Diceros bicornis minor: one gene and its partners. The protein of the gene in region 1 purifies or fractionates together with the protein of each later gene. This does not show direct contact. Links are inferred from orthologs where the notes say so. Each region holds a gene or a part of one and is shown in the gene's direction. Other genes may lie near its edges.

The links.
Region 2: the proteins of EZH2 (region 1) and PABPC4 purify together in Homo sapiens (affinity purification with mass spectrometry, with the first as the bait; 3 studies listed by BioGRID). This does not show direct contact. The link is inferred for Diceros bicornis minor from reciprocal best matches to the Homo sapiens genes EZH2 and PABPC4.
Region 3: the proteins of EZH2 (region 1) and DNMT1 purify together in Homo sapiens (affinity purification with western blotting; 6 studies listed by BioGRID and IntAct, with this or other methods). This does not show direct contact. The link is inferred for Diceros bicornis minor from reciprocal best matches to the Homo sapiens genes EZH2 and DNMT1.
Region 4: the proteins of EZH2 (region 1) and SMARCA1 purify together in Homo sapiens (affinity purification with mass spectrometry, with the first as the bait; 3 studies listed by BioGRID). This does not show direct contact. The link is inferred for Diceros bicornis minor from reciprocal best matches to the Homo sapiens genes EZH2 and SMARCA1.

Annotation. Positions count from the first base shown.
Region 1 is NC_080742.1:95,356,402-95,364,212, reverse strand, and holds the start of EZH2 (histone-lysine N-methyltransferase EZH2), read left to right. Parts: upstream 1-4,806; 5' UTR 4,807-4,814; intron 4,815-4,994; coding exon of another isoform or gene 4,995-5,018; exon of another isoform or gene 5,019-5,264; intron 5,265-7,811. Other genes in the region: ZNF398 (zinc finger protein 398), read right to left, coding at 1,342-1,737, 4,995-5,018. UniProt on the Homo sapiens protein: Polycomb group (PcG) protein. Catalytic subunit of the PRC2/EED-EZH2 complex, which methylates 'Lys-9' (H3K9me) and 'Lys-27' (H3K27me) of histone H3, leading to transcriptional repression of the affected target gene.
Region 2 is NC_080752.1:53,260,746-53,267,862, reverse strand, and holds the start of PABPC4 (polyadenylate-binding protein 4), read left to right. Parts: upstream 1-4,099; 5' UTR 4,100-5,014; coding exon 5,015-5,207; intron 5,208-7,117.
Region 3 is NC_080769.1:8,953,120-8,960,135, forward strand, and holds the start of DNMT1 (DNA (cytosine-5)-methyltransferase 1), read left to right. Parts: upstream 1-3,997; 5' UTR 3,998-4,043; coding exon 4,044-4,123; intron 4,124-4,334; exon of another isoform or gene 4,335-4,611; coding exon of another isoform or gene 4,612-4,667; intron 4,668-7,016. UniProt on the Homo sapiens protein: Methylates CpG residues. Preferentially methylates hemimethylated DNA. Associates with DNA replication sites in S phase maintaining the methylation pattern in the newly synthesized strand, that is essential for epigenetic inheritance.
Region 4 is NC_080781.1:118,323,922-118,331,688, reverse strand, and holds the start of SMARCA1 (probable global transcription activator SNF2L1), read left to right. Parts: upstream 1-4,749; 5' UTR 4,750-4,850; coding exon 4,851-5,033; intron 5,034-7,767.

The DNA of each region.
Region 1 (7,811 bases):
AGTGATTCTTTCAAAATACAAGCCAGTATAACTCCTCTGCTTAAAACCCTGCAATTTCTTCCCATTACACCTAAGATAAAATCCAAACCTCTGACCTCGGTCTCCAATGCCCTACCCAGTGGTTCATAACTCTAGCTGCATATTAGAATCAGCTGTGGAGCTTTAAGAATTATTACTGCTTCAGCCCCATCCTGGACCTATTAAATCAGAATCTCTAGGTGTGATGCCCATCAAAATTTTAAAAGCCCCCCACCCACCATGGTGATTCCCATGTACAGCCAGGGCTGAAAAACACTGCCCTAAACCATCTGCCTCCTCCTCACTTCTCCAGTCATGCCCCTTTACTCACTGTACACCAGCCTACTGGCCTTCTTCCTTTCCCTCAGTGTTCCTAGTTTCTTTGTGCCTTCGGGACTTTGCACTAGGTATTCTTTCTGCCTGGAAAGCTCTTCCTCAGATCTCACAGTTGGGTCCTTCCTGTTATTTAGTATCAACCTAAATATTAGCTCCTTTATGAGAACTTCTCTGATACCCAATCTAAAATAAATCACCAGATAGCACTTTTATTTTTTATCAAAGCACTTAAATGGACATAAGTTTTTCTTTGTTTATGTTATCTTTCTTTCCCCACTAAAATTTAAACTCCAGGGGAGCTTTAGTGTCTTGTTCACTGCTGTGCCTTCAGGATGTAGATATCAAGCAAATAGTAAGTGTTCAAGAAATATGTGTTGAATGAATGAATGAATAAGCAGGCATGCTTGGAAACTAGCTGGCTCAAGGCTGTCTTCCATCGTTTAGGAATGATGTATATTTCCTTTTGTTTTATGGGCTATTCACTCCAGAAAGGCTGGGCCCTAGCATTGCAGCACACTTCTGTGAAGGATGCTGAACGGCAGGATCTACATCAGTTCTAGACCTACAGATGGCCCTAAACCCTTATATTAACCATTTACTCTACATACATTCCCTTCTCCTCCCTCTAACTTTTCACCAGAATTGCCGACAAATTCAAATTGACTGATTTAAATGATATTTAATTTAGTTTCCACACCAAGATTGTGGCAGACAGGTTAACAAAGGGAAAAGTGACTCGGGGGTAATGGGCAGGAGAAAGCAAAAGAGACCTATCTGCCAGATAGCCAACTTGGGATTAAGAAGAGTTTTCCAACCTGAAGTTCAACACTTCAAATGGTCGCTAAATTGAACATGGCATGCTCCCCAGATAGATAAACACAAAACAACTTCATAGTTCCTTCGGCCTAACTGATTGACCAAGACTATCCTTTACTACTAGTGTAAGGACTAGTGGGACCACTTTCCATCTAGAAGTGAAGGTATTACCTTTGGGATATCCCCTTTAATACCCGGGGGCAGCCGCAGGATCCAGAAGTTCCTGTTTCTCAGCAGGTTCTCCAAGTTCTCCAGCCGCCTCTGCAGCAGCCCGTACTCCTGCAACAGGGTCCCCAGCACGGCCCACTTGCCCTCCAGCTGGTTCCCAAGATCGGCCACTGTCTTTTCACAGCTGGCTAGCTTCTTCTCTGCTGTCCCTGTCCGTCCTTCTAGATGCAGGAGTCGCCGGCTGTGGACTTCCACCTTTCTCTCTATAGCCTGCACGGCGGCCACCACTGTCCACAGGGAGATGGCTGCAGTCTGCAGGTGTGCCTCATTTGCTGCTGGGGGTGTGGGAAGAGGAAGGGGCTGCAGGGACGTAAGGCATTCAGAGTCCCATTCAGAAGTCTGTGTGCAGTGGAGAGATGAGACAAGACACTGAGTGTTAGAAGGAGCCCTAATCCAAACTAAAATCAGATAAGGACCGCTTAAACTGGCCGGCTGAGATTAATCTAAATATAGTTTTAGTACCACCTGCATAAGCCTCGTCTTTATAGAGCTCATTGGCATCAAAAGCCAAGAGAACTGCTTTGGTGGTTCAGGGATGGATTAGGTAAGGCAGTGAATGAGTAAAGCTGGATCAAGAACCAGCCTGACATATTCCCTGGGATGTAAGGCTCTAGAGCCAACTGTCCAGAGGCTCAAGTTGTTGCTGCATCCTCTCTCTCTGGAAAAGGCCTAAGTGCATCAGGATCTTTCCAGGTTTCACTGAGCTCAGTGCCCTCTGATAAACCCCTTATTGACTTATGCTGTGGCCCTGTCCACCACCCTGCTTACAAACCACAACCATACCATTCAGTAATACTTAAGCTGAGAATGTTGAGTCTGGAGAAAACATGACAGCTATTTTCAAACATTTGAGGCTTATAAACAGAAAGCAGAACAGGCTTGTTTAATCTTATATTGTGTTACTCCAGAGGGCAGAACTAGAACCAACACGGAATTTTCAGGCAGGCAAACCTTGGCCTATATAAATAATTTTAGAACTAGATCTTTCCAAGAAAATAACAGGCTGCCCTAACACTGAATGTACTTCAAAACAGAGTGCATTTAAAAAAAAGAAATTTCTACAAAAAACAGAAGGCTTGACAGGCATGACCTCCACAAAGCCCTTCGACTCTATGAATTTGATAACATGCTCTCTGGCCACCACCTCCCATCTCTCCAGCTCACCCACTACCTTTTTCTCATTTCACCTGCTCTCCAATCCCACTAAACCCTTGACCATTCCATTTGCTCCTGGTTTATCAGCCTGCTCCAGGCTTTCCTTTCTTCCTTGGTTGATCATTTCAGCCACCTTCAGCCCCTTCACTCATCTGTCTTTGTGCCTCACCTGCTCAACTAACCCCTAGCTTTGAATCAGTCCGATCGTTCTCATTCTCTGTTCCTGTTAGCAGGCTGGTAAGCCCTACTAAAGGAAGTCACAGAACCGGGTAAACTGGTGTCACCACAGACCAATGGTGTCTAAGCTCAGCAGGGACTCAACACTGCCTGGTGCCCCCATGCTTCTTTTCCCATTCCATCTAGTGGCCACCAGAACCCTTGTGCCCGCACTCTCCTTAAATTTTAGTACAGCACTTCTCAAACTAATGTGCATAAGAATCATCTGGAGATCTTGTTGAAATGCAGACTTTGATTCCGTAGGTCTGGGAGGAAAATTGAGATCCTGCAGTTTTAACAAGCTCCCAGGTGATTGTGATGCTGCTGGCTCAGGGAACATGCGTTGAGTAGTAAGATGCCTGTCCACTGCAGGGCCCCTCACTCTGAGGAGATGACATGGACTCCTACTTTGAGAAGAAAATTAGAGTAACTAGACCAAACTCTCTCAACTTTCTCTTCTTTTTCTTCACACTCCTTCCCACTTCAAACTCATCAGTAACTTAATCTTGCTTTCTTCTTTCCTTCCCACAGGAAAAAGGTTCATTCTATTTAAAATTGATCTCTCCACTTAAGCTCTGAATGCCAACTCTTTCCACATTTTTAGGTACATTCTTCTTCTTTTTTATGGTCAATATTTCAATCTCTCTTGATTCTTCTCCATAAGATGGACCTGCACTGTTCAATATGGTAGCCACATGTGGCTACTGAGTACTTGAAATATGGTTTTGATTGAGATGTGCTGTGAGTATAAAATACACTGGAGGGGCCAGCCGTGTGGCACAAGTGGTTAAGTGCGTGCGCTCTGCAGCGCCGGCCGGGGTTCTCCGGTTGGGGGCCCGGTGTGCATGACGCACCGCTTGTCAGGCCATGCTGTGGCGGTGTCCCATACAAAGTGGAGGAAGATGGGCACAGACGTTAGCCCAGGGCCAGGCTTCCTCAGCAAACAAGAGGAGGATTGGCAGATGTTAGCACAGGGCCGATCTTCCTCACACACGAAAAATAAAGTAAAATACACTGGAGATTTTGAAGGATTAGTATGGGGGAAAATGTAAAACTTCATTAATAATTTAATATTGATTCCACATTGAAATATTTTGTATGCATTGGGTTAAATATCATTAAAATTCATTTTATCTATTTCTTTTTACTTTTTAAACATGACTACTAGAAAATTTAAAGATCTATATGTGGCTTCCATTATATTTCCACTGGACAGGGCTAGCATAGACGCATGATCATCTCTACCATATTAAAAAAAAAAAAAGGTTGGAAAAGGAAAAACAGGTCCAAGGGCAGAGATGGTATTCCCCTCTACTCTATTCCCCACCCCACTGATGCGGCTCTCTTCTTCCTCCTCTTCCTCCTCCTCTCACTTTCCAGTCACTCCTCGGTAGCACAGCTTGACCACTAAAATGGCTCTCTTTGGGGTGACCAAAGGCTTCTCAGTTGGCAAATCCAGGGCATACTTTTCAGCCCTCTGTTACTCGCCTGGTCCCCGCTCATGCTACCCGCGTCGGGGGTGCAGGGACTGCCTCGGTCATCTCTGCAGCACCAGCAACTGGCGGGGGGCCTGGCCCACCGCGGCCTGCGGTCAGCGGCCTGCGGTCAACGTCGGCTGAATGAACAGACGCGCAGCAGGCGCGCCGCCCTCGGAACCCGGCCCGCGTTCCCGCAGCGTGCCGACCGAGGCCCTCCTGTGTGTCCGGCACTGGCATGTGCTGGGCAGTCCTTCAATACACCGAGTGTCACCGTCACCACCGCCTCCGTGGCTGAGCGAGGCTCAGGCGGACCGCGCTGCGGGAGATTCTGTGAGGACGGCTCCCAGAGCCGAGGCTGACGACCGCACAGCCCCCGCCTGCGTCTGGCGGGCTGTGGAGCGCGGACACCGAGCGGAGGCACCCCTCTTCACGCATCCTCTCTCAGGAGCGTCCCAGGCTCTCCCCGCTAGAAGCCTCTAGAAGGGCTGGGACGCCCTGGCCTCGCAGCCGGCGCGGGATCTCACGGAGGGAGGCGGCGAGCCCTCCCAGCCCCGCGGCGGCGGCGTCCCACCCGGCCACCGGGCCCTCCCCGGCCCTCCCCGCGGGACCCCGGGGCGCCCGTCTGCGCTCGGCCGCTCGGGCTGCGCCCCGCTCCGGGCCCCGCGCCTGACAGGCCGGCTTCCCGCCCTCCTCCCTCCCTCGGGTCCGACCCTCCCGGGCTCGCAGCGCTCGCGCGGGCCGCCTTACCGGAGCCGCCGCCGCCTCGGCCATGGCCCCGCGCTGTCCGGCCCGGCCGGAGTCGCCGCCGCCGCCGCCGCCGCGCGGCCCCACGCAGGCCGGCCCCCGGCCTCTCCGCAGGCGGCGCCCGCCCGGCCCTGCCTTCCCCGCCCGGGCTCGCGCGGCCGTCAGGCCCGGTACTCGGAGCGCGGGGTCGCGACGGGGGCGCGGGGCGGCCGGCCGGTGGAGCTCGGGGGCGGGCAGGCTCAGCCGCGCTCGGCCCGCAGCGGCCCCTCAGCTGGCGCTTTGTGGGCACCGAGCGCAGCCGGAACGGCTCCGGCCTAGACGAGCCGCAGCCCCGCGCAGCGCGCCCCCTGTCGGCCCCAGCGGCCACTTCCGCCCCGCGGCTGGGTCGGCTCGGCCGGGTGGCGGGGTCTGCTCCACGGAGCCGGTGCCTCTGTCTCCTCGCACGCCCCGAGAGCGCTCCCCAGATGCGAGCTTAGGGCCTCAAACCAGGGCTCGTCTGGGGAGGGGTCCTTCCTGGCGGCCACATTCGCAGACACCGCCTGAAGCAAGGCGGGAGGGCGGGAGGGCGGGAGGGCAGCCCACTCTAGAAAGGTGGAACCAGGCGGAGGGCGAAAGCCGAAGGGCAGGCAGGGCCCAAGTGAGCCTAGAGTGAGTGACCGAGAGGCAGACATCTGTGATGAAGATGTTCGTCATTTGCAGAAATTGCACATGTGGCTGCCGAGGTGAAGCGGTTCACGTCCCACGTGGCCCGTGTTAGAACCAAAACTCTCTAGTCGTCCTACGTCTCGGATGACTGAGGTTTCGGTTTGCTGGGTCTGTGCTAGTGGACAGGAGAGAACCAAGTGTTGTCTGTGGAGGTTGGCAGAGTGTATATTATAGCAAGACGGCCGCAATAACCCGGAGTTTCCAGCACAGTCCTCATTTCAAACATGTGAACATGAATCAAAGTCCTCCCAAACCTGTATTTCAACAAATGAACCAAGTCAATATCCATAACAAACTATCTATAAATCACAAAAGTATGAGAACCATCCTGTTGGGGCACCTGCTCTTGAGCATACCAGCTATTTTTAGACTGTAGCTACACCTGCAGTGTGTAATTTGAGATCTACCTGAATGTATATTTTGGTCAAATGGTGAATGTTTGATAGTTAAAAATTGCTATTCTCTGAATCAGAATGTCGCCATAACAGAATGAACTTCTGGAAAAAATCTGAATTTTCTTGGGAAGGAAATTCGTTTTTATAATTTTATTATTAAAAATGTAGTAGTTAAAATTTTACAGTTTGACCTTATAAGGTCAAGAACAGTAATTTCTCGGTCCTGTCAACTGTTGGTTGCTCCCAAGACCATTAAACAGGGACATTTGCGTTACTAAATAAGATACTTTCAACTGAGCTCCATGGAGAAGCAAGGCTAGCTCTGCCAGTATAATATGGTGATATTGCCACCAATTTATTAAACGTTCCTTTTTCTAATAGGAGCTTATTAAGGTAAAGACTTTTCTCCTTTTTAATTTTTAGCCTTGAAAACTTTTTGGATGGTTGATGGCATTTCATTGAAGCAATTTCAGTGACTGGAGTTTTGTGCACTGTTTCAAAAAGATGCATGATATTTTCAGAAGCAGATTTAAGATCGTTGCGCTTGTTTATATTTTTTATTTCTGATTTCTAATATTTTTTTCTGTTCTTGCCGCTCTACACAATCACTAGAGAAAATTTTGTCCTTAAAGTTTGGATCTAGAAATGTGAAAACGGAGCAATTTAATTGGTTTTCAAGTTAAGAAAATAATCGAAGTTTCCATCTGCATCTTAGCTTTCCTTGTATGCACACCAATTTCAGCATCCGCCCTGGAGTAGAATCAAAGGAAGATCTTTTCAGCAGGAGTCATGTAGGAAATACTTGCACTCTCAAGACACACCAATTTATTCAGCAAGTTCCGACAAACAACCTGTGTGCTCTGCAGGCAACCATTGGTTATTAGTAAGTCTTGCTACGTTGGTAATGTTCTCTGGAAAATACAAAATTAAGGCCTTCTTGATTCCATCAGCCTTTGAAGGATGTAATAGCTGCTATCCCATCTAGTTTAAATATCTTGTGTATGTACATGACAAGACAATTTCAAAATCCCTCGTGTATCATAATTTGTTATTGGCTGAAGAAGAATTGTGGAAGTGGTCTATAATCTTTCTGCTTGCAGCCAGTCATTTTCTGTTACATCTTTTTAAACTATAACCATTTTCTGAAAATAAAACTGAAGGGTGTAAACAAATTATATTATGCTTATGTTCATAGCCTTCACCATATTTGTTCCATGGTCTATGACAATTTCATGCATTTCTCTATACAGATTTTACATTCCATAAATATTTCTCAAAGTCAGATTCACTATGTGTGTGAAACCCAGGAATCCTTCATCAGGTAAGGAAAGTGGAAACATGGTTGAATAAATGATTAATTCTCTGTGTTGTTAAACCTAAAAAATTAGGGTTGATTCTTCATGTCCAAATGTCACATATACCATATACTGTGGCAGCATATGTAATAATCTCATTAACCTTTTTGCGCACAGCAAAATATAAATCAGGAAAAGTTTTTAGGAATTTTTTCTAAAAGAAATCAGTATTTAGAATTCATAGCTTGGGCAAATCTCAAAAATCCTTTCTCTTCAACTGCTGAAAATGGTTATCAGTCTATAGCAATTATTTCTACAAGCTTTAAAAAATATTAGTTTTCACAAATCCCAAACCATGAGGCATTGTCTTATTAAAAGCATAGAGTTTGTTGTTTACAGAGAACAAATATATTTTGGATGTCTCA
Region 2 (7,117 bases), on another chromosome or scaffold:
ATCTTGGCCAGTTACTCTACAGGGCTTAGAATAGCGCCTGGCATGTAGGCAGCACTGTGCAGTGTTAGCTGTTAATGTCACTATTTCTGAATAATAGTATTGGATCAATTACTTCTGGGAAATGTCACCCTCTAGAACGGCATTCAAGGACCTCTGCAAGATCTCAGCTCTACTTTGCAGTTTCCTTCTCTGCTATACACAGACACACACACCCTAAGTTCTAGCCTCAACGGGCCACTCACAGCAACCTTGAAAATGTCGTGTTGTAATAATACAGTATTATATTATCCACTATCTGTCAAATGCTTATTGTATGGCTGGCACTGTATAAAGGTTTACACATAGTGTCTCGTATCATTTCAAATGCTTATTGTATGCCTGGCACTGTATAAAGGTTTACACATAGTGTCTCGTATCATTTCTATTTTATAGATGAGAAAACTGAGGCCCAAGAGTGTGAACTGACTTACCCAAGCTAATAAATAGGTTGTCCATTTCTGAACTTCTGTTTATAGAGTGTTCTCCTTGTTTCCGTTCCATTTCTACCATCTAAAACACTATCTTCTTTTAAAGGTCCAGCTCCAGTGCCATCTCCTCCAGGAAGCCTTCCTTGATCCTCACCCTTGGTACAGATAATCACTCCCTTAGTGCCTGGGGCTCCTGTCTGTGGCACCTAATTCCATAGGCATTTGGTCGTAGTAATTGATCTGGATGTCAGTTGTTCCCACTAGACTGTGATCAGTTCCAGGGAAAAGATAAGGTCTTGTCCATCTTTATAGCCAGCATCCAGCCTGGGGTCCTGAACAGGAAGACAGCACTTATGACTCCCCTCATTTATACCTTTGAACTCTGCAGATGATGGTTTTTTTAGGTCAGTTCCAGCTTTTAATACCCTAGTCTTTGGTCATGCCACACACGTTTAGTCCTGGGTTGAGGTCTGAAAATGATGTCTGACACATAGTAGGTGCTCAATAAATGGTGGTTTATTCTTAGCATTTTCTGACTATCTGGAAAGGTCAGTAAGGGGTCAGGCAGATTCGCAGCTATCAATGTGGGAGGACAGGAAGGGAAATGCCTTCTCTCTAGTGGGCAGGTACTGACCCCTCTTCCTTAAAGGGCTTACTGAGCCCATCGTACAGATGTGAGAGGCTCAGAGATGTGACAACAGCCACCCAAAGTTGCACAGCCTGTCTTGGTGCCTGGACAAAACCTCTAAGATCTCAAAGACCCTGTCTGTGGACAAGGAAGGATATTCCTTCCTGAGGGGCAGAGCCATTGTTGCTTATAGGAAAGAGAGCTTTTGTGGACTGCTGCTGGGAGGATGGGGCTGGGTTTTCCCTGCTCTCACCTTCAAAAAGTCTCTAGATTCAAAGCATTTTTCACAAGTTTTACACACACACACACATTTGCTTGCTTCTTATCTCTCTCCTCAGTAAGGGCGGGTTGTTGTGTGAATGTTTAGCTCAGAGTTCTGTCCCCAGCACCCAGAGCAGAGAGAGCCTGGCTCTAAGGAATGCCACATAAAGTTTGTTGAATGATGAATGAATCCAGAAGGCAAAGCTCTTACATTTCTGCTATTAAAATCCTCAGCTGCAGAGGCCCGCACCTACATCCATGTCTTCACCAGGAAGTTTTTTTCCCTTCCTCTTCCCAACCCTGGACACTCTTTCTCTTGACACATGATATCGTGTATCAAGTACAGACCCACTGAGAATAGGTTCTGCCCCAGTGGAAAAAAAGAAAAATTTCACCCCTTCCCACCCAAGCAAAGGCAGATTTGTACTGATGTGCTCAGGCCTCCTTCCAGACCACTGGCCTGGTCATTTGTCCAGCCTCTTCCCACCCTACCAGGCCCTGATCAAGTCCCATTCGGATTTTGCAGGCCTGGACTCCAGGCGGCTCCTTCGGTGGCTTTGCACATTTCTCCCCTCTAAGACTAAGTGACAATCTTGTGTTTAGATGTGGGGAAGCTAAATTTTTTTGATTTACTAGAAACTTGGGAACCATCTTTGACTGTTACTCTCTCACCTCCCACATCCAATGAATCACAAATTAGACTGTCTAAATTTTTTTTTAATCAAGCCGCTTCCTCCATTTCCATGGCCACCACCTTAGCGGCCATCACCTCGAAGCTCTCCTTGCACCCACCCTCTAATCCTTTTCCATTCTACATCCAGAGAAGTGTTTTTTTTTTTTAAAAAAAAATGTCATTTGAACCAAGGCACTTCCCTTTTAAAATCTTTCAGCTCTACCCTTTGATCTCAGGATAAAGTCCAAAGTGTTTCAAGTCTCCAAGAGCAGGCTGTCTTTTCCACCTCCCACAGCACCATGGGCTGTCTTGCAGTCTCGGCTCCAGCCCACTCCTGCCTCAGGGCCTTTACACATGCTGTTCTCCCTATCTTCACTTACGTAACTCCCTTCTCTTCTCAGTACAAATGTAGCTTGATAATAATAACAATGATCATCTACACAAGTGATTTATGTGTAATTTATGTGTATTAGCTTATTCTCACAAAAAACCTACTGAGTAACTTTATTAATTTACTTACAGATTGGAAATCTGAGAGTCAGAGATGTGAACTAGTTTGCTCAAGGTCATACAGGTAGGAAGCTTCCCACTAGACAGTCAGCTGCATGAGGTCAGGGACTGTGTGGGCTTTGCTCATGGGTGCCTGGTATTCACTTGCTTTTTTAGCAAATATTTATTTACACATTTAGTGTGTGCCATGTTAGGCACTGTTCTGGGTTCCTGCTCCCATGAAGCTTATATACAGTGGGGAAAAGACAGACACCAAACAGGTAAACTTAGTATATATGAACAACATATACGAACAACATAATGAATAACACATATATGAACATATATGAACAACATATATATGAACAACACCATTTCAGGTGGTAATAAGAGTCAAGAAGACAGTGGTAGTGATTAACAGTGCTGGCAGACTACATTAGACCACTGGGTGCTTTGGGAAGGCTTCCCTGAGGAGAGGCTCTATCCACAGAAGGAGCACTCCATAAATGTTTCTTGATTTAATACACTAACTAGAATATAAACTCCATAACGGAGCGGACTTCCTCTGCCTTGTCCACCATGGTATCCCCCAGCACCTATATCTGGCATTGGCATAGAGGGAGCCCTGATTAACCATTTCTTTGAATGAATGAATATATAAATACATGTATTTCTTCATTCCTTTACAGAAATCAGTGGTCTTCAATGGAAGTGTCTGTATGCCCTTCGGTAATTTCTGTTTTTGGTTGTCACGATGATGGGGAGGGTAGTTCATGGCATTTATGGAGGAAGGAATGCTATACATCTTGCAACACATAGAGACAGTCACACATAACGTAGACTCATCCCATATACCACATGACTTTCAAATGACCTGCCAGATCCTCATGTAGATGAAAAAATCTTTTTATAACTCTTGGAGCCTAGACACTAACTCCCTCTTCCATAGAAACAGAAAGTATTTTTGCGCCCTTAAATGTCAACTAAATTTCCAGGAATGCCACTACCATGCAAATAGAGGGATGATTGCATTTTGTTTCATTGAAGCTTTACCAAATTTATTTATCTTTCCAGAGAATCCAATCACCCATGGATACTACTACATTTGTAGCCGTCGCGTTCTGGATGATTCTACCTCTAGGTCCCAGTAGTCTGAAAACTTCAGAATGTCTTCTCCTGTATTTGGGCCCAAACATTTCTATACTGAACCACTTATTATATAATTATAATTATTTTATGTCATCTTTATTTCACAATACATTGATTATAAACATTAGGCGTGCGGGTGGGTTAAATTATCTGCGAGTTCTTTTCCCGGAGGGGAGGGCGGTTTCCACTCTAAGAGTCTGGAAAGCGGCCCTTGGGTCCAGCGGAGGCCCCCGCGGAGCGGTCCTCCGTGCGCCAGGGGTCGCTGTGGCGCCGCGCGGCCGCGCCGGGTCGCTCTCGCGTGGCCGCCCCGCCTCGGGCCCCCGGGCCGAGTGGGCGGGCACGACTGCGCCCAGGTCGCGAGGCGCCCTTCGACCAGCAGCGCCCGGGGCGGGCGGGTATAAATGGAGCGGTGGCTCCGTCGGCCGCCTCTCTCCGCCCCGGGTTGCCGCAGCCTGCGCCGCTTTCGGGCCCAGCAGCCTGAAGAAAAAAAGAGAAAAAGATAAAAAAAACCCGAAAACGCTTTAAAATCTAAAAAAAAAAAAAAAGAAAAAGGAAAGAGAGAAAAAAAATTGAATCCTCCTCGGAGAACCCGCGGGGAAGTCACTTTCGCACGCTTCCGGCCTGCCCGCGCCCGCCGCCGCCGCACCTGGGCGCCCGTCGGTCCGGTCCGTCGGTCCGGTGGTGAGCCGCCCGCGTCCACGCGACTCCGCTCCGGCCGCCCGTCCGCGCCGCGTGGCAGCCCCGCGCCCGCCGCCCTCGCCCCCCTCGCCCCCCGCGCGCCGGCCTCCCCGCGCACCACGTGTCCGCGCTGCCCTTCGCCGGCCCGGCGTGGGAGGCGGCTGCGCGCTCGGCCCGCCCGGGGCTTGCCGAATCGGCACCGACCAATATTTGGTTTCCCTCTTCTCCTGGCCGCTGTAATCTTAAACCGCCAGCAGCCCGGGGCCTATATTTATAGAGAAACGCGTGTCCTGGAGGCCGCCGTGGGCACCATTTGGTTGCCACTTGAAGAATTTTTATAATTTGGAGGGGAGTCCCCATTTTAATTTTTTTTTTTTTTTTGGAAATTTGGAGCTTCAGACCAGGACAGCTGAAAATTACAAACTCCCAGGGAGGGCCATATTGTTTTTGCGAGCCTTTTGTCTGTGGTTTTGCAGTCTCGTGCGAGCCGTCCCTGAACAACTCTGGGCGGTCTTCTGTCTCTCTGAGCCGACTCCAGCTTCCCTGAGCTTCCCTCTGCCACCTGTGAGCCGCGGCGCGGGCCACGGCTCCGAGAAGAGCCCCTTTTGTCCTGTGGGGTCCCTCTAAGAAGTCCTCCTGGCGGGGCTCGGGGTGGTGGGGGCTGGGGAGATGAACGCTGCAGCCAGCAGCTACCCCATGGCCTCCCTGTACGTGGGTGACCTGCACTCGGACGTCACCGAGGCCATGCTGTATGAAAAGTTCAGTCCTGCGGGGCCTGTGCTGTCCATCCGGGTCTGCCGCGATATGATCACCCGCCGCTCCCTGGGTTATGCCTACGTCAACTTCCAGCAGCCGGCTGACGGTGAGTAGAAGCGATGTCCACACATTCGTGGGATCCCAGGGGACCCAAGGAGTCAGCCTCCACGCGGGTCCCCACGCCCACGGAGGGGGCCTCAGGACAACACATTGCCACAGAAGCCATAGTGGGGAACAGGATGCGGGGGTTTAGAACAAGGATCCTGGCATCAGGTGACCCGAGTTTCAGTCCTGCGTCCACCACTTGCTAACTGGGTGACCTTGGGCTAATCAGTGGTGACTGTGGGGTTGGAACCCAAGGAGACCGTAAAGTGGGATCAGAGGGAAATGGTTCTCCCATTGTGTCTGTGGTCCTGCTCCAGTGGGGCTGGGCTGTTAGAGACCCTTGCCTGGTCAGTGGGCATGGGCTTGCGCCCCTCACAGGCCTGCCAAAAAGACAGAGTGGTTGAAACACAAATCCTGCAACAATTTTAGGTGGCAAAGCTGCTGCCTCTTCCCCTACCTTTACCCTTGACTAAGAGTCTTTGATTTTGTGCTGATAAGGGGTCTTTCAGGGCAGGTGGGAAGCAGGGGAGCAATTCCGTGTGTTCAGCGTGAGCGGGCGCATGTGTTAGCACCACCAGAGCTGCAGGTGCCAGGCCAGCTCCCTGGTCTGGGCGTTTGCTTGCCAGTGGGGTGGAGGAGTTCTTTGCTCTCTGGACAAAGCCCTGGTCTGTGGAGAAGGGTATCCAAGTAGTCTGGGGAAGCGTCGCTTGGAAATCCACTGGGCTGGTGGAGACTATCGCCTCACCTGTGAACAGTGCTTTCCAGTTGTCGGAACCTTTACTTCATCCCATCTGAAGAAAATAGAACTCCTGAGAAGGAAAAGGAACTGCAAAAGGTTGGAGGCTAAGCTGGGACCGTCAGTGCAGTGCTCTGCCCGTCCAGATTGGGGCCTTAGCTCAGAGCGGTGGAGAGGTATGCTGCAGGCGTGGCAGGAGTGAGGCCAGAGGAAACCTAATCGGGGGCTGCACGTGACTCCAGATTAAAAGGGAACAACTGTAGAGACCATCACTGGGAGAAACAAGCCATTCTGTGGCAAAGGATCTCCAGGTCCCTATTTTCGTCCCCACTTTGTTCACTGTCCGTGAAGCACAGAGAATGTCACTTGCACAGGACTGGACCTGTTGAGAGACACGAGGCACTGCTACCACCGAGTTCAGTGTGCTCTGAGCTGAGTGGTGTCTGGCCACAGGGCACAAAGGAGATAGCTGGGTGTGGCCTTATTAGCTGGGAGTAGTGGGTGCATTGGCTGTTGCCTCCTTCTTGACTCTTCTGAACAAAAGTCCTGTCACTTAGAGATAGTAGCAGAAGCCATTGGTCAATGTGTCTGCCAACACATACCTCTGCAGGACCTCTCTCTGCTATAAATAAGTGCAGTCAGATTTGTCAGACTAAGCCGACTTGCCTTCTGCGGCGCCGCCTGGAAATAGACGAGAAGCTGTGTTGAAATGGGCTCCTTCGCTGCTAATTAATGAAAACAGTTTGGGGGTCCCAGGCTGTGATCACAGCTGGCCATCACAAGCGAACTCTTCTGCACCTGGACTTTTCCTGACTTGGATCTGCTCTGTCCCCCCTTTCCCTGATCTCCTCTCCTCCCATACTGAGGAGCCCACCTGAGGAAGGGAGAAACGGTGGTGAGAAATAATAACTGAAAAGGAGATGCTCCCGTGGCTGCCTGAGCAGCTGAGCTTGTGGAGGCAGTTAGGGAATTTTGTGTGCTCTAAGTGAGATGGTGCCTTGAGGTGGGAGAAACACAGCTCCGCACCACTGGATGGAGGAGAGTCTGGCTGATATCTTCGCATAAGTCAGGGCAAGTGACCACCAGCTCTGTATCTTTTTACCACCAGTGAAGAGAAGTGTTCTTGCTGGCATATGATATATTTTAGCTTCTGGTCTTTTAAATGGTCTCCATGG
Region 3 (7,016 bases), on another chromosome or scaffold:
AGAAAGCCATCAGCCTGCTTAAGTGCTCTACAAGGAGCAGGCAGGTCCACCCAGCACACCCCAGAGTTGGTTTCCCCAGATCTGATTCCTGGTCACTTGAGCCCAGAGAGGGAGCTTGCGAAGCCTGCCCTGCTGGTCTTCCTGCCTGGCCCCTGCCTGGGGCGAGAGTGGCAAAGTGTCCCCATCGAACCCTTGAGTGCTGCTGCCGCCATCTGGGGCCTCCTTTGGTCCTGGCACCAAGCGAGAGCTCAGTTGCCGTGACTAATGCCCCAGCATGTGGCATGACTCAGCTCTGGCTTTCTGACTGACTGTGGCCCAGGACATGTGGCCATCTCTCCACTAGCCCTGGTGCTCGGGGCTGACACCTAGCCTTTCCTGGCCCCTGGAGTGTGGCCCTCCAGCTGGAGGCTGGAATACGGCCTGGGAAGCAGGGAGGTGGGCCTGACAAGTCTCATGTCAGGGGTTCATGAACACTACTTTAGAGACCAACAGGTGGAGGTGGAGTAAATGCACCTGAGAGCTGAACCTGGCTGCTTCTGGAATTTCCAGTCCCTTCTCTCAAGGGATGAGCCCATTTCTAGGTGGAGGTCTCTGGTGGTCCAACCAGTCACTCTGGAGGCTCCCGGAAGCCATCAGCATCCCTCTCCCCATGGCTCTGGCTGACATTTCTAGTGGTCAGGTGAATTGAGTGAAGTGGATGACTCAAGGACTAGAGACAAACGAGGCTTTGCAACCTTCTCTGATTTGGGCCTCAGTTTCCCTGTTTGTGAAATGGAAATCCATTGTTGTGGGGGAGAAAATAGCTTCATACCCACCAACCTTTGCATCTTCACTGTACATCAGGCACCTGCTTGCCACCTCCTACGTCCTATATATTCAACCAATCTTTGGATTCCTACGGAGTGAGCCCTTGGAGGGCCAGCTGTGAACGAGGCAGACCAGGTCCTTGCCCTCTGGAGCTCGTAGTCTTTGCAGGGGTCAGCATGCTAAGGCCCATAAGCTAAATCCGGCCCACCATCTGTTGTTGTAAATAAAGTTTTATTGGAACACGGCCATACCTATTCGTTGACTGTCTATGGCTGTTTTCATGCTACAATGGCAGCATTGAGGAGTTGCAACAGAGAACGTGTGGCCTACAAAACCTAAAATATTTACTGATCCTTTAGAGAAAAAATGTGCAGACCCCTGCTCTGCTCTAGTGAAATAGACATACTATGATGACAGTAAATAAGAAACTCTCTGACAGTGGTAAACTCTATGAAGGAGCAGGGTAATAGGCCAGAGTGAGAGGTCAGGGGGAAGCCTCTGAGTAGAGGCAACCTTGGAACTGTGTGAATCTCCCAGAAGAGTGGTCTGGGCAGAAGTGAAGCAAAGGCCCTGGGGCACATAAGAGCTTGAAAGACTAAAAGTGAATCAAGAAGCTGGAGCTCAGTGAGGTGGTGGTGGTAGCGGGATGAGATGCATCCAGGAAGGACCCTGTAAATAGAGTAAAATGCTTAGATTTTATTTGAAGGGCAATGAGAAGTTTTGCAAGGTTTTAGTGGGGAAGAGAAGAGAAGAAGGATATGTCCCCCCACCCCCCTTTTTTTTTAAAGCTCTCTGGATGCTGTAGTCTGGGAGACCAGGGAAGAGGCTACTAGAACAGTCCAGGCAAGTGATGGAGTGATGATGGAATCTCTGAGGAGGCAGCAGAGCGGATAAGCAGAAAGACCCGGGTTGTATTTTAGAGGAGGAACCAACAGAGATTGCTCACCTCTTGCATGTGAGGGGAGGAGAGGAATTAGAGATGGTCTGAAGCAGCACCTTGAGAGCAGATCAGCAACGTTGGCACCAAGTGGGGCAAATTTTGATGTCGCTGAGCCCTTGCCCCATCTGTAAAATGGGTCGAATCATCCCTTGACAAAGGGATCACAAAGAAGATCCGCCTGAGAGGACATCCTGCCACTACATGCAGCTGCTCTTCCGAGAGCTGAGGCCCTGACAAGCAGGTCTGCTTGTCTGTGTCCCCTCTCTCCCCCATCCTGTGAGCACCCCTCTTCCTAAGGCAGCTTAGGGGCCCAGATGCTGGTTTCCAGCAGGTCTACGGGTCCTGAGCCTCACTCTGGCCAGACTCTCTTCTATCTGTCCCCATCCTCAGCCCGGTTCCCTCAATGCTGTCCCTTTGGCCTCCCAGGGGCCTGACAGCTGGCCAACCCTGGGGTTTCTCTTTCGCATTCAGGCTCTGGAGCTCAAGACACCAGGATTCATGGTCCCTGCTGCTTACTGAGTCTATGATCTTGGGTTAGCAGCCTCTGAGCCAGACTCCTTTGTGACAAATATCCTAGGCCATGGGAAATGGGGTCCTGACACCCCCCCCCTTTATGCTTGTTAAGGATGAAATTAAATAACTCTTAAGAGCCTGGTACAGTACATAAGTGCTGATTCCATATTAAATTAATAGCTATTAATTTTTTTGTGAGGAAGATCAGCCCTGAGCTAACATCCATGCCAATCCTCCTCTTTTTGCTGAGGAAGACCGGCCCTGAGCTAATATCTATTGCCAATCCTCCTTTTTTTTTTTTTTTTTCCCCAAAGCCCCAGTAGATAGTTGTATGTCATAGCTGCACATCCTTCTAGTTGCTGTATGTGGGACGCGGCCTCAGCATCGCCGGAGAAGCGGTGCGTCGGTGCGCACCCACCCGGGATCCGAACCCAGGCCGCCAGTAGCGAAGCGTGCGCACTTAACCGCTAAGCCACCGGCCGGCCCCAATAATTCTATTTTTAATTTTTTGAGGAACCCCCACATTTTTCTATAGCAGCTGCACCATTTTACATCCCCACCAACAGTGCATGTGGGTCTTAATCTCCACATTCTCGCCGATGCCTATTTCATTCTTTTGATCATGGCCATGCTAATAGGCGTAAGGGGGATAGCTCATTGTGGTTTTGATTTGCATTTCCCGGATGATGACTTAACTTGAGCATCTTTTCATAAACTTGTTGGCCGTCTGTGTATCTTGGGAGAAATGTCTATTCAAATTATTTGCCCATTTTAAACCAGGTTATTTGCCTTATTGTTGAGTTGTAAGAGTTCTTTATATATTCTGGATATTAATCCCTTATCAGATAAATGGTTTACAAATATTTTTTCCCATTCTATAGGTTACTTTTTCACTTTGTCGATTGTTTCCTTTGCTGTGCAGATTTTTAGTTTGTAGCCCCATTTGTCTATTTTAGCTTCTGTTGCCTGTGCTTTTGGTGTCATATCCATGAAATCACGGCCAAATTCATTGTTGTGAAGCATTTCCATGTTTTCTTCTAGGAGTTCTGTCATTTCAGGTCTTATGCTTAGGTCTAATCCATTTTGAGTTTTTGTATATAGTGTAAAGTAAGGGTCCAATTTCATTCTTTAGCATTTGGATATCCTGTTTTCCCAACACCATTTGTTAAACGGACTAGCCTTTCCCCAAGTTCTAGTACTTTTTTAAATACACAGGATGTGGAAGTGGTCCGGGCTTCCCCACACTGTGAGATCCTTGGTGCTAGCTACATATTCTGTGCAGCCTCAAGCTTTTCTGGAGTAGGTGGTATTAGCCCCTTTTTACAGATGAGGAAACTGAGGCTGGGTCCAAATGACCCTCCCAAGGTCGTTAGAGTGAGCAAACAGGTGGTGGTGGGGTTGGAACTGAGGACTTTAACTCAAAAGCCCACAGGCTTGAATCTCGTGGGAATGCTCCCCGTTTTATCCCCAGCCTGCGGGAAAGAATGAATGAATGAATGTCTCGGGCAAGGCTCTCGGCAAACGGCGGAGCTTGGACGAACCCACTGCTCCGCGCGGGGGTGTGCGCCTGACTCGCGCATGCGCAGCCCCCGCGCACGTCCCGCTCCACTACGTCCGGCCGCACATGGTACGGCCTCTCTCCGCGTGGTACGTCCCGCCTTCCCCCACGCCCAGGCCGAGGTGGTACGCGCCGCCTCCGCTCGCCGCCCCTCCCCGTCGGTTTCCGCGCGCGCGAAAAGCCAGGGCTGTCTGTGCTGCTGCCGCCTCTGCTGCAGTTTCCAAGATGCCTGCCCGCACCGCCCCAGCCCGGGTGCCCGCGCTGGCCTCCCGGGCCTTCTCACTGCCCGACGATGTCCGCAGGCGGTAAGTGCCACGGGGGCCCGCGAACGCGGGGGGTGGCACAGCGCTGGGGGGGGTCGCTTCCCCGCCGGGTAGCCTGTGGCCGCCGCTGACAGACGGGCGCGCATGCGCGGGGTGGCGCGGCGCGCGGCGGCGGTTGGCGCGGGCAGGGTGGCACTTCCGGTCGCGCGCGCCCCTGGCCGTTTGGCGCCAAAATGGGCCGAGGCACCTCACAGCTCCCTGGTGCCTAGGAACTTGGGGTCTCTTCTGACCTCAAAGTAGAGCAAGCGTTGGGGTCGCCTCGGGGGTCCCCTTCCTGGAGCAGCCGCGGGCCGGGCTCCCGCCGCCAGCCTGGTCGCACAGGAAGTGGGCAGCCCGCGGCCTCAGGACACCCCTCGGCAGGGCACTTCGGCCTCCGCTTCCGGTGCCCGGCCCTCCTGGGGGGTCGTGCCGGCCCGGTCCCCGGGGTCGTTTCGGGGGGCCCCCTCGGCACCCCCGCGCGGCGCATCCCGATGGCGGCTTCCAGAGACGGACGTCGCCGGTCGGGGCCCGGGCGCGGCCGGCTCAGGTTTGCGAGCCCCGTCTTCCTTGGGGGGCTCCCGCCATCGTCTCGGACTGCTGGGAAGTCACATTCTGGAAGGAACTCGTACCGTGCAGCGCAGGGCCAGGGCTCAGGCAGCGCGAAGGCTGCATGGTCTTTTCTAGTAAATCTGTGCCCATGAGCCGTGGGCATCAAGGAAGCCTTGCTGGGGAGAACTGGCCGCACTTTCCAGTGTGTGTATTTAGGGGGCAGTTTGGGGTCGCTGATGTTGGGGACCAGCTCAAGCAATGCCGTGCACATGGGTCAGTGGCACGACCATTGGGCCCCCCCTTCTTGTTCTAGAAGGGCTCCCATTTCAGTCCTGAAAACTTGTACCCCTCGCTTGGAACGCTGATCACGGGAACCTTGACCAAGACTGAACACTTCCAAGCGGATTGGTGACCCCGCTTTTGCCATTTCGCTGTGCTTGTTTTCTATGGCTGTGCCAGGCCCGTTCTGATTTGGGCTTTTCAAAGTGGAGTGTGTGTGGGGGTCTCCCTACTGGGTGTTTAAGGTTCCAACCACTTCTTCACCACAGTTAGAGGGGATGTGTCTTGCTGAAGAACCCCTATCTGGATCCCCCCAAGATATAACGTAACTTAAAGTGGAAATGGAATCATGGAAGTCCCTGGCTTCATTTTAGACCCAATACAGAAAAGTTGGGGTCCAGCCTCCTTTCTCTGATGGTGAGAACGCTCCCTCCATTGGCTTTTTTGACTTTGGGCACAAGTGTCATAAACAAGCCCCAGCTGTGGGCTAAGATTGACAACATGGGCTTTAATTTTATTTATTTATTTTTCCCCCAAAGCCACAGTAGATAGTTGTATGTCATAGCTGCACATCCTTCTAGTTGCTGTATGTGGGACGTGGCCTCAGCATGGCCAGAGAAGCAGTGCGTCGGTGCACGCCCCGGATCCGAACCCAGGTCGCCAGCAGTGGAGGGCGCGCACTTAACCGCTAAGCCACGGGGCCAGCCTGACAACATGGGCTTTAAACTGGCATTGGATTAAATGAGAATATGCCTGGCACCTGAAAGCCCACGTGTTAGCATTGTTATCAGCTAATTTAGCTTACTTTCCGGTCTGCGAATCAGTCACTGATTGTATAAAACACTTTACATTATCGCATTTAATCAAGAGTCCTTAAGAGTGGGTGCCACAGGCATCCACTTGGAGGAAGCGGGAATTCCTGCTGAGGTCTGTTTCGTGCCAGAGCCTTTCCCTTCAACGAGGAGTTTCGAACAGCCCACTAGCTCGGGTTTTATTGGGCCGGAGCAGTGTTCTGTTTGGCTGAATTTGAATGTTCTTAGGTTTGCAATCCACCATTCACTCTAGCTTCCATCTTACTTGGAACTAGAATTGCCTACTGTAGGTATGGAGTTGTGGATTTCTGCCTTGGACCATGTGGTAGACGTTGAAATGGTCAGCTTACATGACCCTCGATAGCTTTTCTTACATCTTGAATTTCAGCATACAAAATACACACATAAACATGGCATTCATCACTCCTTTAAACTTAGATTCATAAACGGAGGTATAACTCTTTTTGACCCACGAAAATTAGACAAGTGTAATCTATAATATAAGAGGAACCTAAGTCCAGTAGAGTGTTCTAGGAACAAAATTGAGGCCTGGTCCTCATGTATGCGTTTCTGTCACTTCTGCTAACTTGTGTTTATATGGCATCTTTTAAAACTCACAGAGTCCCATTAGATACGTAATGATACTAGCAAGTATTTAATGTTTGGGTTTTTAAGTCTTGAACTGCTTTTTGGAAGTGTTATATACGCTCAGTCTTCTGAAAATCAGGCTTTTGAGGACAAGCCACATTTCTCCACTTGATGTTTCTTACTCTGTCCAAGCCGCCATCATTTGTACAGAAGAAGCGAGAGTCTTCCTGCTGTCACTGAGGTCTGTTTTCTATAAGTGGAAACTGTGATCCTCTTACAACGTGAGTTGGAGCCGGTGGTTTTTCCCGCCCAGCACGCTGCCTGGTGCTCTTGACCTGGAGTCTGGAATCCCTGTCCACTTGCGTGACTCAGTCTTGTGCTCATCTCCTCACAAGCCACGCAGGCCTCCTCTGAGGTTCTCGAGGCCTGAGACCATGCAGAGTGACCAGTGTGAGGCTGGCTGCTGTCCATTCATCCGTAAGACTGTGCTCAGAAAGACAGTCCCCTTCCCCCACAATGAGAAGGGTGTTGAAATATGTCCGTGCACCCCATGTGCTGCCTTTGCACCCTGGAGTTGGTAAAGGTTTGTTTCCCTTCTTCATTGTATCTGCAGCTTGGTGTACAGTAGACTCAAAGGCCTGCCAGCCTTTCCCCTTTAATGAAGCCTG
Region 4 (7,767 bases), on another chromosome or scaffold:
ATAACAAACATACCAAATTAACTGGGCAAACAACAGTTCTGCCTTATTCCCACTTTAGTTTAGGACTGACTTCTGGACTGACTTTCTCATATCCTGGCTTTTTCCTTGGCTTAGTCTGAAGCGCAAAGCATCATCTTGCTTTTTTCTTTCTAACTACTATCCATTGAGTGCATTTTACGTGCCAAGACCATGCTAAATGTTTCATGTATACTTTTACATTAAATCCTCATAAAGCCACTTTGAGTTAAGTATTACTATATTTTACAGATGCAAATCTGAGGCTTAGAGAGGTTAAATAATTTGGTAGAATTCAAACTCCAAGTCTTTCCGACTCTAGAGCCCAAGCTGGTAATAATGGTGCTATTCTGCCTCTAATAATATTCACCATTTGCTTTTAGCAAACTCAATTCAGATTACTTAGCATGTTTTTCAAGTTTTAGGGCATGCATGGGTGTGTAGAATTTCCGTGTGAGAAGTATTTAAAAAATTGGCTGTATCTTTTTCCTGAGCTAGGTTTCATGTGATAATTTTTAAAAGTAGAAAAATCCTTTTACATACAACTTAAAACAATAATGTCAAAAACAGTTCCTTAACCAGGTAACACTATTGTAAATAGCACGACAATTTATATTTCTTCTGTTACATTACACATTAAGTAACTGCAAAAGTCTCTTCAGCATGAAATTGTTCTTTTCCTTTTTTTGACTCACCCTGTCTACTAGCTCCTACTCCATCTGTTAGGGATTATTTCAACCTGTCCAGTTTTGAGCAATATTTTTTGATTCATCTTTGAAAATGTTATTTATTTATTATATAAGTATAAACACCTTCATTGAGGAAAATTAGAAGTAACAGAAAAGCAAAAATAAGAAAAAAGTCACCCATAATCCCACCACCTTGCTACAATGTAACTACTGTTAACATTTTGAGTAGAACCTTCCAGACCTGTTCCTTTGTGGAACTCTATTTATGTAAATAGTTTCTTTCTTTTCCCCCAAAATTATATCATTCTATTTCCTTACTCAATAATATATTAGGAGCATATTTCCATGTCAACAGATGTATATTTACATAATCATTCATAATGACTGCATAGTATTCCGTTTATGAATGTTTTGTACGACATTTTGCCAAAGACGACTTCTTGGACATTTGAGTTGTTTCTGTTAGGTTCTCCCCCTCTCTGAACTCTAACTGTCCTGAGTCCCATTACTATTCCAAGAATTTACTTTGGGTATATGCAAGAATCCCAAATTATTCTCAAACTTCCACCTTACAACAACTTCTATGTAGAGCTAAATAAATAATCTATCTGTACATACTAACAGAGCCTTAAGAGTGACAGTGTCTCCTCATAAACCCAGAGGGAACACGATGGAGACAGATAGCAGAAATATCTTTCAGTCATTTTCTCAATATGATTTACATTGTCAAGGAGGAAGTTCTGTGAAGAACAGAGAATTTAATAAAGGTGAAGTGGAAAGTTCAGGTTTGGAGCCAGACAGTCTGGGATTTGAATCTGGCTTCAATCTAGTCACTCACTAGCTGTGGGACCTCAGGTGAGTTATTTTAGCCTCTCTAAGTCTCTGTTTTATGATCTGTAAAATAGGGGTAATAATATTTATTTCATAAAATTACTGGGAAGATTAGCAATATCATACGTAAAGAACCTAGCACAGAGCCTGATACAATAGGGGGTGCTCAAGAAATGGTAGACATATACTAGCTATTACCACTACCGTTTCCTTAACATACAGAGCACCGAGGGAATACCACATTTTCGAAAATCCCACTATCATAAATGTCTTTAAGAAGAATGGTGAGAAAGCTTACTGATATGAGCAGAATGGTTACTATAGTGGTGAGCAAAATACCATGACCAGAATCCTGTGTACCAGCTTCTGAAGAACACTGATCTGTGGGATCGCAATGTGGTTTTAAGTCATACTGTGGTTTCAATGACAAATTTCAGATACAGGATAAGAGAAGGAACACCAAGCCCTTGACCTTGCCTTTATGAACTTTATAAAAATATTTTAAATACCACCACTGGACATGCCTTCTGGTAGCTACTAAACCAGTTCAGCTATGCAAAAATGACTATTGAATAACTTCTACAATGTTCACAATCTGCCAAAATGGACATATAGTCCAGTAGACTAGGATTCGTTTTGAGATTCCCAAATATGGCCCCAAGGTTCTCTATAAAAGTTTCCTTTGTTCTCCAATGTCAATGGAGTAGAGCAATTAAAGACCACTTCAAATGAAAAGACATAATAAGGGAAAGTAGTAGCAGATAGAGCAAGGTGTTGAGTAGGATCAGAAATGTTGTGACTCTTGTTGAACAAAGTCTACAGATCATGAATTTTTAGGCAGATTTGCAAATAAGGATAGCACGTGCTCTGTAAATAGCAGCTGTTGCCACAAGCCAAAGGGCAATATTTACATGAATCCTGCGGCAAGATCTATGGACCAAGCATTGACTTTTCCAGCCAAACTCATATACTTCGTAGCACTTTTAGCCGTGTCATCTTGAAAAGAAAGGATCATGTTATACATACAAGGAAAATTGCCAACGTACAACTATGTTCTGTCCCCCAAATTAATTTCTAAATTCTTTTTTTTGGAACTTGGAACACATGATACCACAGAAAAGGCATTATAAAGGGATGTGAGTTTCCCAGATTTCCTCACAGAAGTGCATTTAGCCCATGACGTAAATGAAATACTGTACATTTACAATGAGAAATACAATGGGACAAAGTACTTTTGCAAGCAGGAACACATCAATACACAACAAATATTTCTTGAGCCTTTGTCCTTTGAAGCCCCAGGCAATGAAAGGGGAATTTTATCCTCCCATAGCTGCAATTTGGTGAAAAAGAAATTCTCCACTGCCCTTGTCTGGAAGGGTTCTTCTCGAGTCAGGTGGATGCATGCATTGAAGCATCCTTCTCTTTCAGTGCTGTTTCAACTTTCCCATCAAACAATCCTTAATGACTGAGGAGATTGAACAGGGGTAGGATGTCTAACTGGAAGTCTCAAGCTTTTATTTGGAGACACTTGAAACTCCACAGTTCATTCCTTAATATATCTGCACATTTTAATAGAAAAAATCGTGTTTCAAATGATCACTTAAGTGACTTAATTCCTTCCCACTTTTTGACTAAAGTTGATGCTCCAGAAATATGAACCATTTTTATACTGACTGTCCCTATACCCATCGGATAGTACACATGTGTACTTCAGCATGAGAAACATGGGCACTGAGGGAAAAACTAAAGTAAATGAGAAGAACGTAACGCAAGTTAAATCAAAGCAAAGCTACCACCACCAGTCTCTCCTCTCTCGGTGGCACACTCCTTCAATCACCTGTGTCTTGCTTTTTGTCTCTTTTTCTCTGTTCAAAACCAGTCCCTGGATGGGATCTCACACTCATTCACAGTAGGCTGTAAATGACCAATAATAGCTAAAATGTCACAAGTTTTTGCATATTAAGGAGTCACACCTTTAAAACAAAGGGAATTTAGGGTATTATCCCCAAGAAAAAGGGATATATTTGGAGGACAGTTATGTGCCTTCCTGCTATTCGCAGAAATCACACTTGATTTGAGATTGGTAATTTAGGAAGGTGTGTTGAGGGAAATTAATCATAGTTTCTTTTCCCTTTGGAAAGTATTTGCTCCATTTTGGAAACCGTAGGTTTTGTGATTGTTGTTTGGTACACTGTTTCCTGTATATTTTGCTATCTGTTGTCTCTAATGACTGAAATTTAAAAACTAGGATATAAATCTTCCCATTATTGATCAAAATAAATGGTGAGGAGACAGAAACAATAATATTTAATAACTGACATTTGCATACTTTCGCACCCTTGACGATATAATTTTATATCCGTGATCATGTATATCATTGGTGTTGAGTTACTACAAAATAATAACGAATAGAACACACACGCAAAAAATCACGGTAATTCAATCCAATTACTAATATTAGGTACTTACCATGAGCTGCCCCAGGTTCTGTGGGGACCTTGCCCTTGCCCTTGCCCCCCCAGGAGTTTTAAAATTCAGTGGTGAAGGTAAAAGAAGGGCTCCTGCACATTGGCCATCTGAGACGTATCAGAGTTGAAAATAGAGCAAATATACATAAAACCAAGAGTCACGCTTTGCCTTGTAAGTGAATGTTTGCAGCTGCAATCAAGAGATTCGAGGAGTGCTTCTCCTGCAGAATTTACGAAGGTGGGAATAGTACCACCAATTCCCCTTTAGGGACTTGGGAAAGGGCAGTCCCCAGAGGGGTTCTGGGCTTTGCAAATGGTGAGAAAGACCTTCTACAGTACAGTTATAAGCAGAGGAAAAGTTCTTTGTGCAAGAAGGGGAGAGCGCCCCGAGGTACAAAGAGCAGATTTAAGGGAAAGAGGATTCCTTCTGCACACATCTGTGAGGGGAGCTTAGGCTGACTGTTGGGGGCGTGAGGGAAAGTAGATTTTTAGGGGGCTTCAGGCTGTGGGTTCCCGCCTCCACCCCTGTCTGCGCCCCACACTCAGGCAACAGTTGGTCGTGCGGGGCCGGCCCGGGCTCTGGGTGGGGAGGGGGAGTCTCGCGATCGTTGAGGGGGGGTGGAGGAAGAGGGGAGGGTGACGGGGGGGAGGCCATGACGTAGGGTGGGTGGACGGAAGTGGGGCAGGGTTGAGGGTTATTTAAAGAAGGGGGGGGCCGAGCGAAGGGGTTGAAAGCGGAGTGATTCCCCACCCCTGCTTCATCCAGCCTTTTCCAGTGCAGCCACTGCCGCCGCCCGGGAGCCCTCGTCCCTTTCCTCGTCCCCCTCCTCGTTCCCGCTCCAGCGCCATGGAGCCGGACACCGCTGCATTGGCAGCCACCGTGGCAGCCGCTGATGCGACCGCCACAATCGTGGTCATAGAGGACGAGCAGCCGGGGCCGTCCACCTCCAAGGAGGAGGGAGCGGCCGCCGCGGCCACCGCGGTCACCGAAGCCACCGTGGCCACGGAGAAGGGCGAGAAGAAGAAGGAGGTAAATAGGAAGGGGGTGTGTGTGGTGGACAAATCCTGTGTCGGGCCCCTCCGAGGGGCCCAAACCCTGACCTTTCGGCGCCGACAGGTACCCGCGGAGCTCGGCGGGGATGGGGGGCCGCGGGCGCGCGCGGGTCGGGGGGCGGCGGAACAGTCTAGCATTCGCTCCCCTCCCCCTTTCCTTCTCGCCGCCTGGAGGGCGGGGGCGGGGCACGGGCGCGGCGCGGGGTGGAGGGTGCCCGTTATCCTGGGGCTTGGGGGCTTGGGAGCCCCTCGACAGCCCCCGGCCCCCTCCACATTCCCGGAACTGGGGTAACGGGGTGGGGGATGGGGCTGTGCAGGAAAAAGCCTCCGCCTCTCCCTCTCCTCTCGCTCGCTCCCTCTCCCCCCCCTTCCCGTCGGCCTCTGCCTGGGAAATCTGGGCCCTTCAATCCCACACTCGCGAAAAAGGGGTTTTGCTGAGGCTAATTTGTTTAAATTTGAATTTCAAGGTGTCGGTGGTTGGGAGGCGGAGGACGATAGGAGAGACTTTCATTTCTTTGATTGGCAATGTCGGCCTTTTGGGTGGCAGGAATAAAAAATCATCCCTTGTTCGTTTGGTCCCCGCCTGCCGAGGCGGGGGTGTCACCCCGAGAAAATGAGCTCTCCTTGTCGTAACCCCCCCATCCAAACCCCAAACTGAGGAACCGTGGACGCTGGCCTAGGAAATTTTCCAACGCGTGCACCCTCACCCTCTCCTGCCCCGCCCCCGACGGTATAGTGTTTCACTCCAGGGCCACCCAAATGGTCCCCCCAATCCGGCCTCAAGCCTTCCAGGCTTCCGCCTCCCTCTCCTAGTGGGCGCTGCTGGCTCCTGGACACACGCAGGTTTAAAAAAAAAAAAAAAATTTTTTTTAACCCAACGTCGCCAGGATGAGCTGCTGCTAATGTACATAAGGGGACCGCTCTGACACCTATTAAAGCCAAATCCGGGAAATATGTATTATATCCATAAGGCGTTTTTTATATGGACCGAGACATGCAAATCAAACTGAGACACGTTAAAAAAATTAAGATAAAAAATAGGCTGGGGCATAAGGATTTTTGATGTACAATAAAATTGTGGAAGGGATCGTTTATGAGTGGATTTTTTTTCCTTTTACCAGTAGACATATTGCAATTTAAAAAACAGTAAGTAGTTAAAATTATGCTTTAGAGATCTCAAGTGGCTTTGTCTGAATCATTATATGATACTGTACGACCAAATGAAAAGCTTTTGAGGGAAATTAACACCTTTTGCCGTGAGTTAGAGTAATTTTAAATTCAGCAGTTGCTTAAGTGACATTTTACTGTTACAAGGTTGACTTAACAGAAAGATGATTGTAGTGGTAAGTGAAAACCATAGAAAACATACCCATTTTAAGATCTGTGCGATATTTGGATCAGTAAGACAATATTGATGATTAAAGCTGGGCCAAATACCAAGCATCAATATTAATCAAATGTTGGGAAATTCAGAAACGTCTCTAAGTGCCTTTTATTCCCTAGGCTGGGCAAATGTAAGTGCTAAACTGTCTTTTGTATGGCAGTAAATGTTGAATTTCTAGGTTGTATGAATTCTTTGAATTGTGAAAAGACTGGGGATCAATAAAAGCCCTATATAATAAGCATTGAGTTGATACATATATATTCATGAACTCTGCAGCCTAATCAGCAGTTGCCCTAATGGTACCTCATTTGTCTGCTCAGCGTAGGGAAATGAGGTTCTATATGGCAGGAACTTTCTGGATATCTGAAGTTTACTACTGTAGTAACTACATCTTTTTATTTTTATTTTTCCTTAAAAATCTAAGTAGTACCAAAACATGAACTTAAGTTCTTTCATTTGTATCATTTCTTCAAATTAATTTGGTAGTCCCTCAAATCTGAATACATTGTGCACTGCCTTGACTTCTTAAATGGTGTCCTAAAAACTCGAATTAGCCTTTTCCTCCTGTCCATCAGTTACTGTACTCTGACAGTGATACGAAGGCATTCAAGATCTAGGAGGTTGTTTCCCCTCAATTAACTAACCACCTCCCAGACACTTCCAGTATAGTGTTGATTTTTAAATAATTTTTCGGTCTCCTTCCTTGTTTGTCATGCTGTTAGCTATCACTTTTTAAACACTTCATCTACTTGCATGAGAATTTGTTTATGATAAAGGACACAGATCTAACAAAACCATGAAATCATTTAAAACTAGTATACAATACAAAAATACAGATGATGCAGCAGGGAGAGGGAAATAATTACACCTGAACACCAAGGAAAAGGGATGTCACTGCAGTGGAACTCATGTTTTAGTCCTGGGCTTCTGCCATCCCTTCTTGCTGTTGACAGCGTGCCTTCTTCTAGTAGTCTTTCTCATGTCATTTGCTGCTGCTTTTATTCTCTGTAGTATGGGAAGCCAGATTATCAAACTTGGTAGAATTGTATATCAAATAAAAGAAAGTAGGCTCTGAATGAGAGCATTTTCATGATGCATAAAGTAAACGAGATTTAGTGGATTAATTTGTGATATTTAGCTACAGAAAGGTATTTTTACTTACCTTCTGGTTCTTGAACTTATTTGATTTAAGTGACAGTTGGATAACCTAACACTGTGGAAATTGGAGTTGGTATTTTTGGTAATGAAAACGTCAAGAAAAAGGTCATGGTCTTTAAGACAGGGCATCTTGATGACCTTGTGCTGCATTCTCGTGACATGTAGACTA